Arabidopsis thaliana: one gene and its partners. The protein of the gene in region 3 purifies or fractionates together with the protein of the main gene of each other region. This does not show direct contact. Each region holds a gene or a part of one and is shown on either strand. Other genes may lie near its edges. The genes, in order: ALPHA-SNAP2, ALPHA-SNAP1 and EIF4A1.

Region 1 (8,394 bases), about 16 Mb from region 3:
ATATGTAGAGTTAAAAATTTGGAATGAAAATGAATCAGCGGAATAGATTCACCGGAGAGCAAAATGCCGTATGGAAAAGAGGCGCATGATGAGCTACTCAAGATGGTTGAAGGGAAATGCTTGAAGGTGTTAGTATATACAGAGGATCGTTATGGAAGATGTGTAGGAGATATATACTGCAATGGAAAATTTGTACAGGAAGTAATGCTAAAGAAAGGTCTTGCTTGGCATTATGTAGCCTATGACAAGCGTGCAGAGCTCGCAAAGGCAAGCTTTTATAAACCTTTGTGCTTTTCATTTACAATTTTCTTTGATTATTCCTTCTGATGTTTAACGGTTTGTTTTGGTGTTTTGAATTCAGTGGGAAAATGAGGCTAGGCAAAAGCGCGTTGGCTTGTGGGCATCTTCTAATCCAGAGAAGCCATGGGAGTGGAGAAAGAACAAACGTGGAGGCAATTAATGATAACAAAACCAATAAAAACAACAATACAATACTATTCGATTATATGATTATTGTGAATTAAAGAACTTGTGATCTGTTGTTGTAATTGTAAGAGAAGTATGTATATGTTTTATGTATTGACAAGTATTTTTTTGGCAATAGAGAATTTCTCTTTGAACCTTGAGACAGAAGTTAGCTTAGTTGTTTCGTTTCTAAATATAAGGGTACATAGTTTATTTTTGGGGTTTAACAATCTTTGGTTGAGAATAAAAGTCTGAAAAAGTAAAAACCAATCTTACAATTTCAAATTTGTTTTTAGTTGATATATTGTTTTAAGAAAATGTGAAGAGGTGTTTTTGATAATTCTTCATCATCAGGAGGATTATCAAGGGCTCTAAATAAAGAGCCTTTCATAGTCTTTTGCAATCTTCTTCTTCGTCTTCTTCTTGAACTTTATTCGAAAATGCCGAAGAATAAAAAAACAGAATGGCAAGTAGGAGATCCCGCGATAAGCGTAGTGAGCGATCAATTCTGTAATCCATACCCAATGGATCTTTTGGTGAAGAGAAAAGTTCAGAATTTTTCTAAAGATTATTATGAAGTGTTTGATCCAAGTGGGAATCTGCTCCTACAAATTGATGGACAAGCTTGGGGGTTTAACCGTAAAAGAGTTATGCGTGATCCAGCCGGTTTCACAATCCTCTCAATGCGTCAAAAGGTTACAAAACATTTTAATTTTTCAACAAACATACATATAAAAATGACTCTTTCTTGAAATGGTGTATGATTGTTTAGGGACTTGCGTTGAAGAACAAGTGGGAAGTGCATGGAGGAGAGAGCAAAGAGAGAGAAGACTTGCTCTTCACGGTACAACAATCTCAAGCGGTTTCACTGAAAACATCCGTGGATGTTTTCTTGCCGGAGAACAACAATGTCAAGAAGACAAACACTTGTGATTTTCATGCTTCAGGAGGATACTCCAATATCTCATTCAAAGTTTTCAAAGCGGATGCTCTCATCGCCGGGGTAGGGGTAAAAGTTAAAAACCCATACTTATTAAGAAATTTGCAATTTTTATACATTGGTGAAGGATTGAAATCCTTATATTGCAGGTAACACATAAGTTTACATGGGGAAGTTTCTGCAAAGGGAAATATAACTTTAAGGTGAGAGTAAATCCAGAGGTTGATTATGCTTTTATCATTGCTTTGCTTGTCATGGTCGATGACAACGAGAATTGGTGTTAGTATATTGTCTGTCCTCAATCTCTTTGTTTAGTGGTTCCTTTCACAATTTATTGGTGTATATGTGTTCATTTCTCAAGATATATGTATGTAAGAATATTTTTTCCATGTAATGTGCAATCTTGCTGGCCCAAATGTTTATTTTTCATAAAAGCGTGCAATCAAAGATATATAGAGCAAGAAAACATGAATCAAAACACTACAAATTGTCGTTAACAGGAAGAAAAAGCACACGTTTATTAGATAGATGTAGACGTAAAAGCAAACAAATAATCGAGACATGATCCTCTCGATGCATCAAATAATCGCTGAACGAAGAAGACTCTCCACAGATGTTTAACCAATATAAAAAAAACTCCAGACTTGAGTAGTTCCCATAAATGAAGTGACGAGACGCAGAGAACAATTGTAGACGTCGATACCAAACAAACCCAATTTGACCAAACCTCTTAAGAAACTTTAAAACTCAAAACCAGACACAATAAAATCAAAGAAGAGTCGGACATGAAGTAACGGACATAGTGACAATACAACCCGGGAATGAATAAAAAGCAACGCTCTGGATAAATATGTCTATGTAAGGTCATCCTCCTCTAGCTCCTTGGCCTTGAGCTTCTCCTTCACCCTCAACAACATGGTTGTCTTCCATGAATCCTGCATTAACACCAATTCCATGATCAAGAACCAGGTAGAGTTAAAGAGAGATTTTATTCAAATAGCTGTATATGGTTTACAGCCCATACCAGTGGAGTCATGCTATCAAACTCCTTGACAACATCTGTGAACTTTGCGATGTCTTCTTCATCGATAGCAGAAGCAAGGTCCTGTTCATATGAATAAATGTACAAAACTTAACATACTTTATGTAAGCTGCTCCACAACTTCTTGAAAAAACGGAAGTTTAAACTTTACCGCTAAGAACTTGCATTCCCGTGTTCCAGTAAAAGTTGGATCCAGATCCTGCAAGAAAGTAGAAGTTAGAAAACATGTCATAGTTGCTCAAAGGACCACACCAGAATGTTTATGTTACGGGTGTTTGTTGTGGAAGAAGAAGAACCTGATACTTCTCCAGAGCGTTAGTGATGGAAACAACATCGGCTTTGCATAAGTGGCACATGCCAGCAGTGAGAAGATGGCCCTTAACTCCATACTTGAGCAAGTTATTGTTGAGTGAATGGCGTGCTATGTCTTCATAAATCTTGATTGCCTTCTCATACCTACCAAAGATACAACAACAAGCCTATTATCAATCAATCGGTCCCAAAGTAGAGAAAAGGCTATAATTGCTGTGCTCATGCATACTGCATAGAGAACATCACAATTCCATACAATGACAAGTTTGTGGATTGACAATTCGATTTTAACAGGGTTCCATCTGAGTACTATAAGCACTTCAATGCTAAGGGATGAGAAAGCAAAAAGAAAGGTAATGTGCCGAAAATCTTACTGCTCCAGCTGGGCGGCATATTGCGCAACCTTTAGATTGCACTGGTTTGCAGAAGTGGTCACTTCTTCATTCTGAAAGAATTCAGCTGCCTTTTCAAAGTAAGCAATAGCCTGCTCGAACTTCTGATCAGATTCATAATACTCAGCAATTTCCTGTCAAAAGTAAAAAACCATTAATGTACAAATTAGTCCAAATACAGCAAGTCAGCACCATGCTTACTTTAGTTTAGAAAAGGAAAAAGACAATCTGAATCCGACTGAACATGCATAAAGAAACAGGAACCATGGAGGAAATACAGAAGAAGTGCCCCAATAAAACTATCTTCTCAGTATCCGTACTAAAAGAATAATATCTAATTCATGCTCAAAAGAGACAAGTGGTACCTTGTAATATCTTGCAGCCATGTTGAGCCTTCCTATCTCACAAAATATATTCACCGCTCGCTCTAGGCAAGACGCAGCCTCTGCATATAATATTAGGACGCATGAAAACACATAAGAATTCATAATCACTCTTGCATTACAGAGATGACAATTACAAAAGTAGCTTTATACATACCATTAGTGTCAACTTTCTTGTAGCATTTAGCAGCCTCAGCATAGGCGTTAGCAGCATCATGTTTGCTATCTGACTGCAGATGCAATCATGCAAATCAATGTTATCAAACAATCCACACATTAGTCCAGTATCATATATATGTGTTGCCAAAGAATTAACCTTTAAGTGACAGTCGGCAAGTTTTAGATAAGCTTTTCCAGCTTGATCCCCTGAACAATCACAAATGCAACACATAAGTAAGAAGATAGCGTTGGAGAATTAAACAAATATCAGAAAAGAACATGAAACCTATTAAACTCAGCCAAATAGAACCCAAATTAGGTACTATAATTGTGCCACTTATCAATGACTTGCTAGAAGGCCAGAAACCAATATCAAGGAATCAGAATGATGAATCTCCGATTTAAAATGTTTTCGTATGAAATTATCAACCATAAATTTCTTACAGATCAAAATAGACCTAATATAAACCCAGATACTAATTCTACTTCTCACATGACCATAGACAAATCACCGCAACTGATAAACCTAAGATCAAACGTTTCAAATTTCACCTTTTTTTTCTTCCTCATCATCACAAAGAACAACAATAAAAAAAAACACGACACCAATCCGATGAAACAATAATCAAAAGCAAAGAAATTTTATTTATGGAAATTACATGATTTGGCGAGCTTATAGGAATTAGCTGCTTTTTCGAGCAGATCAGCAGCATCCTCGTACTTAGATCCGAATATTCCCCATCCATTGAGCTTTTTCTCAGCTTTCTTCTCGAATTCCTCAGCTCTCACCAGATGATCCCCCATTCCTTTTTTTTCCCCGAAACTCTGACTTGAAATTTGATCGTGTACTTCTTTACCTCCACAGACTCCGATTGCTTCTCTTTTCTTCGTCGAGAGAAATTGCTTTCGATTTGGATTATTCGCTGCGATGAAAGAGAGAGAGACGAGAATCGATCGAGAGCGAAAAATCAGAGACACGCTTCGATAGGGGAAAAGATTTTTCAACCGACTAAAGTGGGCCAAATTTGTCTATTTAAAATATGGGCTTTGTTTTGAAAAGCCCAAGTTAGCCCAATCAAAAGTTTTTCCGTACTTTGTTATTGGGTCGCTTTAACCAAGCTTAGAAAATATGGGATCAGGTTTATCAGTTGGGATTGAAGAAAAGCTTACATGAATTATCAAGTAAAACGATTTCCTGTTATATCTGCTCGTCCTTCTACATTCTTCATTAGCCATTATTATAGTTCTCAAATCACGACAAATATTGCTGACAGTTTCCACTAAACAAACCTATGTTCCAAAATGCACAAACTGGTAAAAACCTAGTATGTTTTAATATCAAACACATGAGTAACAACAATATCGGTTTTAATATCAAACACATGAATAACAACAATGGCTAAATAACAACCGTTACAAATCTATGAAATGTTCAATTTTTTAGCAAATCATTTCATGGGTAATCGGTAATTTTTTTGTCTTTTGTGAGTTGCAGAGGTAATCTTCTGTTGTTGGGCTTCTCGACATGTTGAATGGTATTGGGCTTAGTGTCTTGGCCCATAGCATTCTGTTTGGGAGACTCTGAGCTGAGCAGAGAGTTTGACCCAAGCTCTGTTGTTGTTGACTGAAGCTTCTCCTTTACACACAGAGATGATCTAAAATAAACTGTAACTTTGCAACGAGGGATTTCTGCGGCAATATTAATGTTGCTATCAGTCACATTCTATAATGTTAACTGAGTAACTTCAATATGATTCATATGAAATGATTAAATAAAAATAACTTTAGAAGACAGTGTTTAATTATTCTTATATTGTTTCGTTTATCACGTTTTCAATTATTCATTCGACATTCCGCATTCGCTGCCCTCTCGTTTTCTTGATGAAAAGTCTCGAACCGTCTGCTCTAAAGTTAGTTTATTACACGTGAGCCATCTTTGAGGCCGCCAATGATATGATTATATATTGGATTTTATTATATCCACGAAAATTTTAAATTATTTAGGAGTTTTTTTCTTTTTTGGACAACTTATATGAGATGAGAAGCGATGATACACATTTGGCCACTTTTTCGTCTAGATACATTCTTCGTGAAGAAATCCAAGTGCACACATTCATTAGTGTTGGACGGACCCATTTTATTTTGGATTTTTTTGTATAATTCTTTGGGGTTTTTTTGTTAATAATTCACTTCTGTCTATAATATGATTATGATTGTTCATCATATTTTAGCTGTAATTTCCTCTCTTGAACAAAATTATTATTTTCGTGATGTTTTTAAGTACGTGACGAAAGATCATTTGGTGATCTCACTGACATGATTTGCCCAGCCTGTCAGGTTTACCTATGGTCAAATATCATTTTCTCGATTTTGCCCCAAACGGTCAAGGCATATATCCCCAATCTTCAAAGGGTATTTATGTACTTTTCGCTATTAACCGTGTGGCTATATGAAGCCGATTCCTCATAACAACTACAAAAAAGGAAAGCTTCTTCCCGCCGGCAAATTCTTACGTTTCTCCGGCGGTTAGAAAAATGACACCACAGATCAAAACTCATCTCTTGCCGAAGCAAGAACCTTCTTCGTCTGAGAACCATGGATCATCAACCTCCGGCATCGTTTTCAACGTGTCAACGAGTATAATCGGAGCCGGAATAATGTCGATGCCGGCGGCGTTTAAAGTTCTTGGAATAGTTCCAGCGTTTTTGATTATCACGATCATAGCTTGGCTTTCCACAATTTCCGTTGGATTTCTGATGAAATCAACTCTCGCCGGAGAATCAACTACTTACGCCGGAGTTATGAAAGAGTCGTTTGGTAAAACAGGATCCATCGCTGTACAGATTGCTACGATGGTTGCTACTTTTGGTTGTATGATTATATTTTCGATTATTATAGGTAAAGTAATTTGATCTAATCATCTAAGTGTAGAGGTCTCAGCTACTATTTGAGCTTAAGAACAGATTGGCTGAGTTTGGATTTGTATGTGTTTACTCTCTCAGGAGATGTGCTTTCTGGTAATGAAAATGGTGGTCCTGAACATATTGGAGTTTTGCAAGAATGGTTTGGTTCTTACTGGTGGAACACGAGAATCTTCGCTTTGTTATTTGTCTACGGCTTTGTCTTGCTTCCATTGGTCCTGCGTAGACGAGTCGGTAAGTTTCTCTCTATAATCTTGTGTTCTCAAAATTATGGATATCTATGAGATTGTTGATGATTTTCTTTTTGTTAATGGTTATGTAGAAAGACTGGCAATTAGTTCCGCTGTATCGTTTCTTCTTGCGGTTCTATTTGTTGTCATAAGCTCGGTGCTGGCGATTTCCGCGCTGGTGAATGGACAAACGAAGAATCCAAGACTGTTTCCGGAGTTGAGCAATGGAGGATCGTTCTGGCAACTCTTCACAGCTTCCCCTGTTATAGTTACAGCCTTCACGTTTCACTTCAATGGTAAGAACCCATCTCTTTCACCATATTGGTAACTGTTTCTCTGTTTTCTCTGTTTTTTCATGTTTCTGAGTTTGGTGTTGTGATTCAAAATGTGCAGTTCATCCAATTGGATTCGAGCTCAAAGATCCATTACAAGTGATCCCAGCAACTAAGATCTCTGTCATCTTGTGTGCTGCTATCTACTTCGCAACTGGACTCTTTGGTTACCTTCTCTTTGGAGATGCAACTATGTCGGATATTCTAGTGAACTTTGACCAGAGCTCTGGTTCTTCCATTGGTTCTCTTCTCAACGACATTGTCAGACTCAGCTACGTGCTTCACCTCATGCTGGTCTTTCCTCTCCTGAACTTCTCATTGAGAGCAAATCTCGACGAACTCTTGTACCCCAAGAAGCCGTCCTTGGAAAAAGACACAAAAAGATTCATCGGACTCACTCTGGCTCTACTGATTTGCTGTTTCTTGTCTGCAATCGCTGTACCAGACATTTGGTACTTCTTTCAGTTCATGGGATCAACCATCACAGTCTCCATAGCATTCATATTTCCAGCCGCCATTGTTCTAAGGTAGATATGCTTTGTTTCCTTTACTATGTACTTTATCAGTTGCTTCAAACTTCCTATAAAAATCTTACCAACTGCTTTCTGATTCTGAAATGGCAGGAATATCCATGGTGTATCAACCTCAAGAGAGAAGATCGTAGCTGCAATAATGCTTGTTCTTGCTGTTGCCACTAGCATTATTGCTATCTCGACAAATTTATACAGCCTCGCAGCAAACTAGTCGTTGAAAAAAGTTTTGCAAACAGTCCCTTCCATGATCACTTCAAAGAAATCTGTAAAATTATTAGCTTGCCGTAGCATTCATATTTATATCTTTGTGAAATAGGTTTGTCAGAAAATGCAATGTAATAGCTATACAAAGTGCAATTTTTGTTGCTGCTTGAAACAGAGAAAGAGGAAATGAACAACTCTTCAAAACTTGTATTCTTTAAATTACTTTTTGTAGACCATTATTTGAATGAACAAAGTACATCTGTATCAGACTATTCCTTTCTTTTGGAACAAAAATTGAAGGGTTCTAAGTTGGAAAAAAAGAGGAACATAAAGATGATACAAACCTTCGAAAGCTTAAGATTATGAAGATACCAAGACTTAGAGCATCCCCATTGGGGAGTCCTAATTAAGGACTCCTTACAATTTTTTAATAGTAAATTTTAAGTAAATGAGAGTTTAGAGTTTTTGGTTGAATCTTTAT
Region 2 (4,671 bases), about 16 Mb from region 3:
CCTTACAGTTTCTACAGGTGCAATTTCGATCCAGTGAACGGAGGAGAGATGACTCAGCTTGAACATTTCCATTTTCTGAAGCAAGATAGCCCGAGATAGTCAGACCACGTGCTTGGTTTGAGTTTTATGTACATAACAATTGGCTCTGTATATAGATTTGGTGAAACCGCATACGATTTTATTCTTCCAAGCTTTACTTGATTGAAGGAAAATGTATTCTTGATTGGAACAATGTATATACAAAAAGGATTTTTTTTTGGTTATAACACTAATTTCTACAGAGAATCAAACTGCAATTCGATTACGTTTATTAAAATTTCAAATCAGAATGTTGATTATAGGACAGATATAACAAATGCAAGATGGTTCAGCTTACATGGTCATTTCAAGGTTACAGAACCGGATTTCTCCATTTAATTTAAAGACTTATACATTTAATTATTAATATTTAGTAACTTTAATTTTATAGAGACAATATAGAAAATTATGCAATGGAGATGCTTTAAAAGTATTAGGTGCCAGAGTTAAAAAAAAAAAAAAAGTATTAGGTGCCTTGTCGTCACCAGATTCCATTGGATTTTACGACTTTTTGTTAAACTCACAAGTCGCTAGCTTGTGGTTTAAGCAATCTTTTTTTTTTTATATAAAATTTACATATATTAAAAATTTTATGTGGTTTTTTTTTACATAATAGTTAATGATGCATTAAATTTAAGCAATTTTAATGATGCATTGATTTTATTAATTCCCCTTGCTCAAAATACTTTCTATGGTGTGATTAACACAAATTATATTATTATTCTTTTAGAAATTTTTGCTTGTAAATGCTAGTTTTGATTGCATTATTATTCTTTTTTCTTTTACGTCATTTACGAGAATTTTCAATTTTGTTTTATCAAAAATTTCTAATTGAATATTTGATGTTGCACATAAACTGACCGTGATACATGTGCTTGTTCTGTATATAGATTTGTTGAAATAACACTAGAGTATGCTACCAATGTTACGGATCACGGTCTCCAAGCAATTGGTAAAGGATGCAAAGAATTAAAACATCTTGAAATACTAAACTGTCCTGTTAGTAAAACAGGTCTTATAGAAGCAGGCGAGAGCTCTTCTTCCATTAGATATCTTTACGCATCAGGTAATAAAGATGGAAAGGAAGGAGGAGTGCAATCTTTTGCACAAAATAATGATAATATATTTTCTTTTCATTTGTTGTTAAGATTCTCCGAGATCTTCTCGAGATCTTTTTTGGAAATACGATAAGATAGGCTGAATAATTCTTATTCTGAAATTTTTTGGTAATGCGAAACCTTTGTTTTATATGTTCAAGAAGAAAAGAAATATTAAGAATTTTTTTTTTGTTCAGTCACACAACTTTAGAACAAAATTATGTTAATAATTTTCTTCATTTTAAATCCAAAACTTCAAAAGTTAGAAAACATATGAAGTAAAATAAAATAAAATGTGCTAAGCTATAAATTGATTTTAGTTTACATAACAAATTCTAATTGAAACTTATTTTTTTATATCGTCAAAAAACAACAACTAAATTCTGAAAAAATATCAAAAACTCCAATTTGGAAAGTATAAATTACAAACTAACTTGTTTTATTTTATGTTTTAATATAATAGTTTAGTTGGTTTAATAATAGTAAGTGTTATTTTATTATTTTTTAAAAGGGAAGGGTTTAAAAACCCACCAAAAAATCCCTTAAATGGATGCTTAAAAATCTCTGGTCGCGGGCTTAGCCCCAGTAGACTAGTTAGATCACTGTGTGGTCTGGGCATTGAGTTATCAAAGAAAAAAAGGGAAGGGTTTAAAAACCCACCAAAAAAGTTGAGGGTTTTGTACATGTTTTTTGTAAAAGGTGAGGGTTTTTTTTACCCACTTTTCATAGAGCTGAGGAACTTGATAAGATATCAAACAACAAGAGTCTCCAACTCAAGCAGAGACTTCAATCTCTCACAACAACACTGCAGCTGTTTCAGGCCCAAAAGGAGACACGAAGCCCATCTCTCATTCATCGGAACTCTGCAATACTCAAAACAGAGAACCATCACGCGAGCCGCTTCAGCTACCATCGCTCGCCGCCAACTCTTGTTGTTGTTTGATATCACTTTCTCTTCTTCAAGCAGTTGCTACTACTTTCAGAAGAAAGCTGAGAAGAAGCTTAACAGACGGAGAAGATTCGACACTAAGTACGAGGATGCTGCTGATCTGCTCGAGAAAGCACGTGATTCCTATAAGCTTGCCAAATCATGTAATTTCCATAAATAATAATCAGCCGGCCTTGATTTTTGTTTCATCTGATTGATTTGTGATGATGATGAGGAAGAAAAGGTGAAACTTGAGACTTTTGATTGATCTTTGGTTTAGCAATTGTGGTGATCCTTCCATGGTGTTGTGAGAAGTTGATTTTAGGCCTCTTTGATATGTGGGAATTATAAATTGGATACTCAACATTTAGATTACTCGATAATGATGGTTTTTGGCCTTATAGTAAAGTCATTGATAAGTATCTTCTTGCTTATGTGTTTGATTTGTGATTCTTCAGGGGATCAAGCTGGAATAGCTTATCTAAAACTTGCCGATTGTCACTTAAAGGCAAATTCTTTGGCAAACACATATATGATAATGGACGAATGTATGGATCATGTAGCAACAGCTTTTTAGATTTTAATTGACATATATGTACTACAGGACTGATTATCAACTCTTGTGTGTTTTCCTTTCGCTATGCATGTTTATCGCGTCCAAATATAACCATGACCTTATTATATGCAGAGGCTGCATCTTGTCTAGAGAGAGCGGCGAATATATTTTGTGAGATAGATAGTAAGGCTCAACATGGCTGCAAGATATTACAATGTACTACATGTCTCTTTTGAGTATGAATTAGATACTGTTACTCTTTTAGTACGGATAGTGAGAAGATAGTTTTATTGAGGGGGAGGCACTTCTTCAGCATCTTCTCCATGGTTCGTGTTGTTTATGCATGTTGGATCCTGTCGGATTTGTTTCTTTTTTTCTACAGTATATATAGTAAGCTTGGTACTGACTTTCTGTATTTGTACTAATGTGTACATTGTCATTTACTTTTGACAGGAAATTGCTGAGTATTATGAATCTGATGAGATGTTCGAGCAAGCTATTGCTTACTATGAAACGGCAGCTGAATTCTTTCAAATAGAAGAAGTGACCACCTCTGCAAACCAGTGCAATCTAAAGGTTGCACAATATGCTTCCCAGCTAGAGCAGTAAGATTTTCGGCACCTGACCTTTTTTTGGCTTTCTCATCCTCTGGTATTGACGTACTTACAGTACTGAGATGGGACCATGTTAAAATCGAATTTTCAAACCACAAATTTGACATTGTTTGGAATAATGTTGTTGTTCTCTACACATGAGCACATGGATTATAGCCCCTTCTCTACTTTGGGGCGGATTGATTGATTGATAATAGGCTTGCTGTTGTATCTTTGATAGGTATGAGAAGGCAATCCAGATTTATGAAGACACAGGCACGCCATTCACTCAACAATAAGTTGCTTAAGTATGGAGTTAAAGGCCATCTTCTCACTGCTGGCATGTGCCACTTATGCAAAGCTGATGTTGTTTCCATCACTAATGCACTGGAGAAATATCAGGTTCTTCTTCTTCCACAGCAAACAGCCTTAACATCAGCATCCTGGCGTGGTCCTTTGAGTAACTATGACATGTGTTCTAACTTGTACTTTCTTGCAGGATCTGGATCCGACTTTTTCAGGAACACGGGAATGCAAGTTCTTAGCGGTAAAGTTTAAACTCTGGTGTTGTAAGAAATTGGGGAGTAGCTTACATAAAGTATGTTAAGTGTTGTACATTTATTCTCATGAACAGGACCTTGCTTCTGCTATCGATGAAGAAGACATTGCAAAGTTCACAGACGTTTCCAAGGAAATTGATAGCGTGAGTCCACTGGTATGGGCAGTAAACCACATGCAACTATTTGGATGTAAACTCTGTCTGGTTCTTGATCATGACAACAATGTTGTTGAGGGTAAAAGAGAAGTTCAAGGCCAGGGAGCTGGAGGAGGATGCAAGCTTTACTTGATTGAAGGAAAATGTATTCTTGATTGGAACAATGTATATACAAAAAGGATTTATAACTACACTAATTTCTAGAGAAAATCAAACTGCAATTCGATAACGTTTATTGAAATTTCAAATCAGAATGTGGATTATATGCCAGATATAAATGCAAGATGGTTCAGCTTACATGGCCATTGCAATAACCTTATTTCTAGAATACATAAGCTGTTTTCTCCTACGGCCATAAAGAGTCTATAGTTTTGAAGACAGGGCAGTCTTGTGGTCGAGAGCAATCATCACTTTTCCAATTGCCTTCCTGTCTTTGAGGTCCCCGAATGCAAGATTGGCCTGTAATCAAAACGGTAAGTGTTTAATTACATGTTTTGAGTTTTGATGTCATGAAGATGAGTTAATGTTTTCACCTGGGAGAGGCTATAGGTATGAGAGATGTGAATAGTGATCAATCCTCGGGAAAGCCATGACAATAACTCTTTGATGGAATCTTCAAGGACATTGGGCTGATGGATCCTGTAGCTACCCCAGTAAAGACCATGAACCGTCCAGTTCTGCACCAATTGGTTACTACAACTTAT
Region 3 (7,887 bases):
TGAGCTTGGCTTAGAGATCTTGGCTTCAGGAGCACTGGCTGGCTTCTCTACCTTCTCTTCCTTTGGTAGGGAAGGAGCTGGTTTTGCTTCAGGCGCAGCGGGACCAGTATCGGATGAGGGTGTGTAATCTTTAAACTTTTGAATATCATCTTCATCTTCAACTGTGATAGCAATCACCTAGTTGGACAAAAAAAAAAGGGACCATTTATATGTGATTCTACAAATGAAGATAAAGATCTTTGTCATTTTTATTGAATATTCATTGATCTTCAACTAAAGGGAGCATAGGGCTCACAATCAAATACTTCATGAGAACCCATTATAATTAACAAGTCTCCAAAAGTCAGAAACTCTCATACCTCCCCAACTTGAATTTCTTTTGCCCCCTCCTCCTTTACTATCTTGGCGAGAAAACCCTCTTCCATGCATTCCATTTCGACTGTTGCTTTGTCCTAAAATATTAAGATTGAGATAAGTGTTTTATTCCTGGCATAAGAATCAATACAGGAAGAGATTCAATCAGGATTATCATTACAGTTTCAACTTCACAAAGCACTTCACCAGGAGCAACTTTATCACCTTCTTTCTTCAGCCACCTGGCAATGTTACCCTGAAGTTTCAACAGATATCTTTAGTAGAATGATAAAACAATAAACCATGTTAATTTTCGTAAGAGGTATTCAGAGGTACATGCCTCAGTCATTGTTGGCGAAAGAGAAGGCATTCCAATCTCTTGATGAGGAGGAAGATCTGAAACATATTTTAAAAAGTTATCAGTAAAACAAACCATGTATGCTGCATATACACAGTGACAGAAATATGATGGCCGCAAAAGGCACAAAAACCAAGTCAGATGCTCACAAAAAAAAGTACAATTCAAGTGAAAATATATGTTAGAACAAGCGGGAAGTTACAATAAAGAACTAAATACCTGAACTGGATGAAAATCCTCTCACTGATCGCATCTGGGAGCTAAAAGCAAGAAAAGAAGCTTACAGTTAGGATAGAAGTATTCATACAGGAAGGTAGCAAGTTGTATTCTCATCGGTAAATGGATTACATACCTTATAAATTCTTTAAATAGTTTTGGTCCTGCCATTGGGCTGCTTAGTTTTGTGCTCGTTGTTGAAATACCACTAAGCATTGTTACCTATATAATGCAGCTAATGACATTACGACCAAAAAAACACAGACGATTACGTGACAAAGCAAAGACGAGAAAGGAAACTGAACAGCAGGGACTTACATTGCCAGTACCACATTTTGAAATTCTCTCTACAGAGGAATAATTCAGGCGGGCCTTGAAGATATCTGAAGACCAAATAAAAATAGAAAAATAAATGCTTAAGCGAGAAGCATAATATATACTCAAAACATACCAACTTTCAATTAATTAAAGTTGGAACGTTGTTATGTTCTTCATGTTGAAAACGATGTGAAAGTCAAACTTGGACTATTCATCCCAGAGTACTGTGTGGTGCTTGTTACCGTATCAAATAAAAGAAACCACCACACATTTCTACATAAAATGAACTTAAGGATAGCAATGAAGAGGACACTAAGAAAGCTGACTGGATTACCTTCTCTTCCAACGAGAGAGGGGTGGGTACTGTTGGAGAAACAGCGGACTGCCACAGCATGGTCACGCCGCAGTAAAGCGGAAACATGTTTCAACTGGTCAGATAACACAACAATCGTCAAAATAGTGTTTACAAAGAGCAACATACAATTACTCTGCTGTAAAAGTAGAGTCTTCTTGTACTAATAAAATGAATAGCTAATACCACAATTGAATCATAAAGCGAAGCTACTACATTAATCACAATTCAGATTACAAGGAGGTTACTAAAGCTCTCAATAGCAAAATGCAGAATTGCCCATGATCAAATTAAAAATACCAAATTCATGATTAGATTAAGTCAAACCCGGAAAACGAACCTCAGTTCAGAAAAAAATGATTGGCAGAGCAAAACACATAAGAACGAATGCATAAACTCAGTTTTACAAGATCAAAAATGGTAGTCAAACCACAGAAAAAAATGAAAAATAGAGAAAGAGAAACCTTTTTGGAATGATTGATGATACGAGAAGCCATTGTTGTGCAATCGGAGCTGCGTCAGCCGATCCGAATTCGCAACTGCAAATAACAAAAAAAATGGTGGGAATGTTTGTTAGGGGGTTTCTCCTTTTTCCCTCGGCAACTATATCAGAGATCGAGATCGATGAATTTGACTTGTACTCAATCCAATTTTGAAACAGTAAATATGTGGATGGAAGATAGGATTCGATCTAGAACTCACCAAGAGTCAGAAGAACGGTAAATCGCAGTATAGAGAGTGAAGGATCACTTGGAAGAAAGCTGGGATTTGATGATGATGATGAAGATAGTTTTGTGTTTAGGTTTTTCAGAAATGGCAAAATGCTGCCTTACATGTACCAGATTGTATCGTACCAACACCAATTCTACCATAACCGATATAAAAGTATTTAAACCGACTAATTAAGCTTCACAAATTTCGGTTTGTACTTTATTATATTGGGCCCTATTATTATTCTCTGAGCTTTTGCGTCTCACCAAAAGACAGAGATCATCAGGTGCGTTAGTGATTACGTAGGCATCTAATGAACGGCAGGGATTAGTCAAACTTATTAATGGGCCTAATCTTTGGCCCATCGTTTTCCCTCGATTCCTGTCACACAAAAAACTCCTAGCTCTTCCTCTACCTACACAAGCTAAATACATATTTTTTGCTTATCCTAAGCATCATGATTATGTTTTGCCCTCTCCAGCTTTTTCTTCAATGGCAACAGATTCTAAGAAAGTCTCTTGAGGCTAAAATCAAAGCATTTTTTGTTGAAGATAGATAGCAACTTGCTGCTTCTTCATACTAGCTAGTTACCTTCTTCTTACTCAATGTGTTTTGCTTCGTTTCAAGGATTCTTCATATCACTTGTGGAACAATTACATGATTAAACATTCAACATAGAGAGATAGATGTGTTAATAAGTAAAGACATTTTCAGATAAAACGTTCTTATCAGTCACTTTATTCTTCTAATATCCTCGTTGTAATCGGGAAAATGCTTTGTAACGTCAAAAAGCAATAAAAGTTGCAGGAGAAAGAAAGCTTTGGAAAAGAAAATAAAATAAATGAAGAATATTTTCTTTGCTAGTCACAAAATAAATGAAGAATTTATGTTCCTAATTTCCCACTAGATATTTGTTTATTTATTTTTGCCAAAATCAAGTTAAGACAATGAGCTAAGTGTTGGAAAACCTTGTCCGAGCCAAAAGAGTAAAAAGAAAGGGAATAAAGGGGTAAAACCGGAAATCCGAAAAAGAAAAGGAGAAGATTTCCAAAGGAGAAAACCCTAAAGACGGAGTATATAAACAAGGTAACGCGTTTTCTCTCAGCCTCTTTCGGATATTCCACCAGTCTCTCGCAATCTTCGCTCTTCTCTTTGCTCTCTCTCTCTCAACGCGGTTCAGATCCGAGTTTGGGAGATTCAAGCTCCCTGAAAAAAGCCCTTTACTCTCGCTTACCAACTTTGCTCCAGGTTCGCATCCTATCGGATTGTCTATCTATTATCTCGATGTAACTTTTACGATTCATGATTGTTTCTTTACTTTTGGATTGTTCTGATTTGTTTTTTTGTGTTTTCCGATAGATTTGGTTTCAACTTTGTTGAGTTGATTTGGAAGTTTTGATTTTTCGTTACTTCAAGATCGTTTTTTTTGCTGTGGAAGTGCTTTCGTTTTTGTTCTCTTTATTAGATTCTGAGCTGCTGATGATGACGATTATTAAATTTAGGATCTACACATCTGTAGATTTGTTGATGGGTTTGTAGATTTTGTTACGGCTAGGTTAGTCTCTCAATAGAATGAAATGAATCGTCTTCAAAGCTCAGATGTTCTTGTCTTAACACTCACTTGGTTTTGTCTGATTGAATGTTTTTTTTTGTAATTTGGAGAAATAGGTTGAGTGGTGTCTATGTTTAATAGATAACCATATGTGCCTTTATACATTTTCTCCGCACATCATCTGAGGCAGATATTAATGCTTGTTTTCCTCTCTTTATGGACTTCGAGTTTGGCTTTCTTGTCACATTTCCTCCTTTGCAATCATATTATTAACGATATCAAAATAGGTGTTGTCTCTCTTCCTTTTGATATGAAATCTGATTGTTTTTGTTCTTTTTATGTAGCATGGCAGGATCTGCACCAGAAGGCACACAGTTTGATGCACGTCAGTTTGACCAGAAACTCAATGAAGTGTGAGTCTTTTTACTTCTGTTTTTTCATTCTTGAGTGTGTTCTCTCCGCATGCTCTAGCTGCTAATTGTACTGTATTGATACAGACTTGAGGGACAAGATGAGTTCTTCACATCCTATGATGATGTTCATGAGAGCTTTGATGCCATGGGTCTTCAAGAGAACCTTCTCAGGGGTATTTATGCTTATGGTATGTGTGTAGGAACTTGAAAAAGCTATCTTTTGTGATTTATGTCTTAGATTAGAACATTATCTCATGCGTGCTTCTGTTTTTTCTTAGGTTTTGAGAAGCCTTCTGCTATTCAGCAAAGAGGAATCGTCCCCTTCTGTAAGGGTCTTGATGTGATTCAACAGGCTCAGTCTGGTACTGGGAAAACAGCAACTTTCTGCTCTGGTGTCTTGCAGCAGCTGGACTTCTCCCTTATCCAGTGTCAGGCTTTGGTTCTAGCTCCAACTAGAGAGCTTGCTCAGCAAATTGAGAAGGTCATGAGGGCCCTTGGTGATTACCTTGGTGTCAAGGTTCACGCCTGTGTTGGTGGAACCAGTGTCCGTGAGGATCAGCGCATCCTCCAAGCTGGTGTCCATGTTGTTGTTGGAACTCCAGGGCGTGTCTTTGACATGTTGAAGAGGCAGTCTCTTCGTGCTGACAACATCAAGATGTTTGTTCTCGATGAAGCTGATGAAATGCTCTCCCGTGGTTTCAAGGACCAGGTATGCAAATATTTCTCAGTGTTTCAATTCCATTCTCGTTATAGTTTAACTTGAATCTCACTGGTTTCTGGGTTTTTTCAGATCTATGACATATTCCAGCTTCTTCCACCAAAGATCCAAGTTGGTGTGTTCTCCGCAACAATGCCACCAGAAGCTCTTGAGATCACAAGGAAGTTCATGAGCAAGCCAGTGAGAATCTTGGTGAAGCGTGATGAGCTTACCCTTGAAGGTATCAAGCAGTTCTACGTCAACGTTGAGAAAGAAGAGTGGAAGCTCGAGACACTCTGTGATCTCTACGAGACTCTTGCCATCACTCAGAGTGTCATCTTCGTGAACACCAGGCGTAAGGTTGATTGGCTCACAGACAAAATGAGAAGCCGTGACCACACAGTCTCTGCAACTCACGGAGACATGGACCAGAACACCAGGGACATCATCATGAGAGAGTTCAGGTCTGGTTCCTCCCGTGTTCTCATCACCACTGACCTCTTAGCTCGTGGTATTGATGTCCAACAAGTCTCCCTGGTTATCAACTTCGATCTCCCAACTCAGCCAGAGAACTACCTTCACCGTATCGGAAGAAGTGGAAGGTTCGGGAGAAAGGGTGTTGCGATCAATTTCGTGACCCGTGATGATGAGAGGATGCTGTTTGATATTCAGAAATTCTACAATGTGGTTGTCGAAGAGCTGCCTTCGAACGTGGCCGATCTGCTGTGAAGGGAGAAAAGAAGTCGGTTCTGTTGCTGTGTTTGCTCTGCCGTACTAGTATCACCGGAGAAGAAAGGTTTTCTTGTTTTGCAAGGCACTCTTTGATCTGATTTTGACCCGTCGTCTATCAGCGATTTACATTTCTTAAATTTTCTTAGTTGTTGTTCTCTCCTCTCTCTCCCAGCTACGAACATATCTCTCTCTTCTTGACCATTTTTAAGTTTAAGTCATATGGAGTATTTATTTCTTCACTATTTTAATATTCGGCTTTGTTGTTTGTCTTTGATTTTTGTATCAATCAAATCTTTTCATCAAAGTTTGGTTTTAAGCTTTTTCAAATCTATATCTCAGCATTAAACTTATTTTATATGTTTATGTCAAACTGGTTAAAATGCTTGGCTCACAAATTAATTGAATAGTCGGGGTTACTTTTTTTCCATTGCATCAATCAAGGATGAAGCATTGGCACACTCTCTCAGGCGCTGCTTTAACGACAAATCTACTGATCAAAAGTCTGTTTGGACACAGCGACGAACTCGCTTTATCTTTCGTTTTTCATGCATCTTCTTTATATTTCTAGCCTTATGGAAAATAAATATTATATCTAATAGTTTTGATGTACTATTTCCTTTTTTTCTCAAAAGAAGTATATTCAAAATTTTATGGATGTGGATTCAATGATTCCGAGTCAAGCCTACCACCGACAAGGGTTTTTCACTTTTATAATATCAAAGTGAAATTATTGGTCTGAACTTCTGCAAAGTTTCTTCACGAAACTATGAAAGAAATTTTATTTCCTGTGAGAAATTACAGGTTTGGACAAATCCACGTGCCTATTTTGAAATAGTTGGGAAATCATCACATCCACACAAACCTAACCATCATTATAAATCATAAGAAAAGAAAAACACATGAAAAGTCTAGTGATTCATACCAATTTTACGTATTCATTTTCTTTCTATTTCTAAGTTGAATAACTTAATTCGTTTGAAGAAAAAAAGAGGGAAAAAAAACACAAGTAGGTCCTTGACCAACTCCACATGACAATTGTAAATTGATTTCTAAAAAAGATACCTTTAATTATTTGGAAAATAAACATATTGTTTTATTAAAATTTCCTTTTATAACTTTTAAAAAGACAATCAAAATCTATTAAAAACAGAGTCGACGACGACTCTTCTTCGTTCAGACCAAAACTCTCAAACTCAGCCATGGCGAATTATTACGAACCGCCAGCTTCTGGAAACCGTCGAGACGCAGTGAAAGGTTACAACAGCGGGAGCTTCGACGATTCAGCCGGCGATCAGAGTCAAACGAACGATTACCAGTTAAAGATAAAGAAAAGCAAAAGCGTTCCAAACGCGGATCGTGCGGCGTCAAGAAGCTGGAGTTTCAGCGATCCAGAATCGCGGAGGAAGAGAAGAGTCGCTGGCTACAAAGTTTATTCCGTTGAACAGAAGATGAAGGGATCCATTCGAAAGAGCTTCAAATGGTTCAAAGACATTATCGGTATTTCTTGATATACCTTCTCTCAACTTTCTTAAAATCTCTTCTTTGTGCTGTGAGAGTTAAATATATCTGTAACGAACAAAAAATTGATAGTATTTTCTTTCTCTTGCAACTATATGTAGAAGAAGAGTCTTTGAACTTGAATGAGACAGATAATGAATGAAATCAGTTTTCATATCTACATGTGAATATGACCATACTTCTTCAGTTACAATCAAAACCAATTCTTTCTTCAGAAAGAAAAAGAATCTATTTATAAGAAACTCTATTCAAATTCTTTCTTTCTTTTCATTTTCTTTAGTATACACACACAAACTCACACAATACAACATTCTCTGTCCCTTTCTTTGTTGCCTATTATCTTCAATCCCAATTTTCTTCTTTGGTCTGCTTCCTTCCAGTTCCAATTAATGGATTTTTTTTCTCGAGAAAGAGGAAACTTACTGGATGAGTTCAACTATGTTGTGTGGTGGAAGTTGTATCAGTTGATGCTGAGACGCCACTCAGACCGCTCATAACGCTCAATATGGAGTGTTTTCTCTGGAGCCTTCCTCTCAGCTGGCGGATCTTGGCATCAACACGAGCTGTCACTCCAATCTTGGTCTTCTCTCTAGCCTTTGATCTTTCCCTCGTCCACATACATTCGTCCTGGACGTCGATTCTGAAATGCTTGATCTCTTGGATGAT

Evidence for each region.
Region 1: the proteins of EIF4A1 (region 3) and ALPHA-SNAP2 fractionate together in Arabidopsis thaliana (co-fractionation; one large-scale study listed by BioGRID). This does not show direct contact.
Region 2: the proteins of EIF4A1 (region 3) and ALPHA-SNAP1 fractionate together in Arabidopsis thaliana (co-fractionation; one large-scale study listed by BioGRID). This does not show direct contact.

What each region holds. Positions count from the first base shown.
Region 1 is NC_003074.8:20,843,860-20,852,253, forward strand, and holds ALPHA-SNAP2 (alpha-soluble NSF attachment protein 2), read right to left. Parts: upstream 4,837-8,394; 5' UTR 4,498-4,836; coding exon 4,353-4,497; intron 3,901-4,352; coding exon 3,851-3,900; intron 3,765-3,850; coding exon 3,692-3,764; intron 3,597-3,691; coding exon 3,517-3,596; intron 3,286-3,516; coding exon 3,134-3,285; intron 2,904-3,133; coding exon 2,744-2,903; intron 2,647-2,743; coding exon 2,599-2,646; intron 2,511-2,598; coding exon 2,430-2,510; intron 2,341-2,429; coding exon 2,260-2,340; 3' UTR 1,815-2,259; downstream 1-1,814. Other genes in the region: CAN (Ca-2+ dependent nuclease), read left to right, coding at 39-267, 362-460; AT3G56180 (LURP-one-like protein (DUF567)), read left to right, coding at 906-1,160, 1,238-1,468, 1,555-1,689; AT3G56200 (Transmembrane amino acid transporter family protein), read left to right, coding at 6,228-6,591, 6,696-6,848, 6,937-7,140, 7,238-7,703, 7,800-7,920.
Region 2 is NC_003074.8:20,928,699-20,933,369, forward strand, and holds ALPHA-SNAP1 (alpha-soluble NSF attachment protein 1), read left to right. Parts: upstream 1-1,858; coding exon 1,859-2,267; intron 2,268-2,561; coding exon 2,562-2,662; intron 2,663-3,112; coding exon 3,113-3,264; intron 3,265-3,285; exon of another isoform or gene 3,286-3,503; coding exon 3,504-3,654; intron 3,655-3,751; coding exon 3,752-3,799; intron 3,800-3,886; coding exon 3,887-4,171; downstream 4,172-4,671. Other genes in the region: ATG18D (autophagy 18 D-like protein), read left to right, coding at 9-99; AT3G56460 (GroES-like zinc-binding alcohol dehydrogenase family protein), read right to left, coding at 4,331-4,426, 4,501-4,644.
Region 3 is NC_003074.8:4,590,448-4,598,334, reverse strand, and holds EIF4A1 (eukaryotic translation initiation factor 4A1), read left to right. Parts: upstream 1-3,574; 5' UTR 3,575-4,077; coding exon 4,078-4,088; exon of another isoform or gene 4,089-4,205; coding exon 4,206-4,274; coding exon of another isoform or gene 4,275-4,278; intron 4,279-4,358; coding exon 4,359-4,462; intron 4,463-4,552; coding exon 4,553-4,983; intron 4,984-5,064; coding exon 5,065-5,630; coding exon of another isoform or gene 5,631-5,670; coding exon 5,671-5,749; 3' UTR 5,750-6,079; downstream 6,080-7,887. Other genes in the region: AT3G13930 (Dihydrolipoamide acetyltransferase, long form protein), read right to left, coding at 1-177, 360-452, 536-610, 695-750, 932-972, 1,065-1,150, 1,247-1,311, 1,581-1,674 and 1 more; AT3G13910 (hypothetical protein (DUF3511)), read left to right, coding at 6,903-7,200, 7,602-7,651; AT3G13900 (ATPase E1-E2 type family protein / haloacid dehalogenase-like hydrolase family protein), read right to left, coding at 7,654-7,887. UniProt on the Arabidopsis thaliana protein: ATP-dependent RNA helicase which is a subunit of the eIF4F complex involved in cap recognition and is required for mRNA binding to ribosome.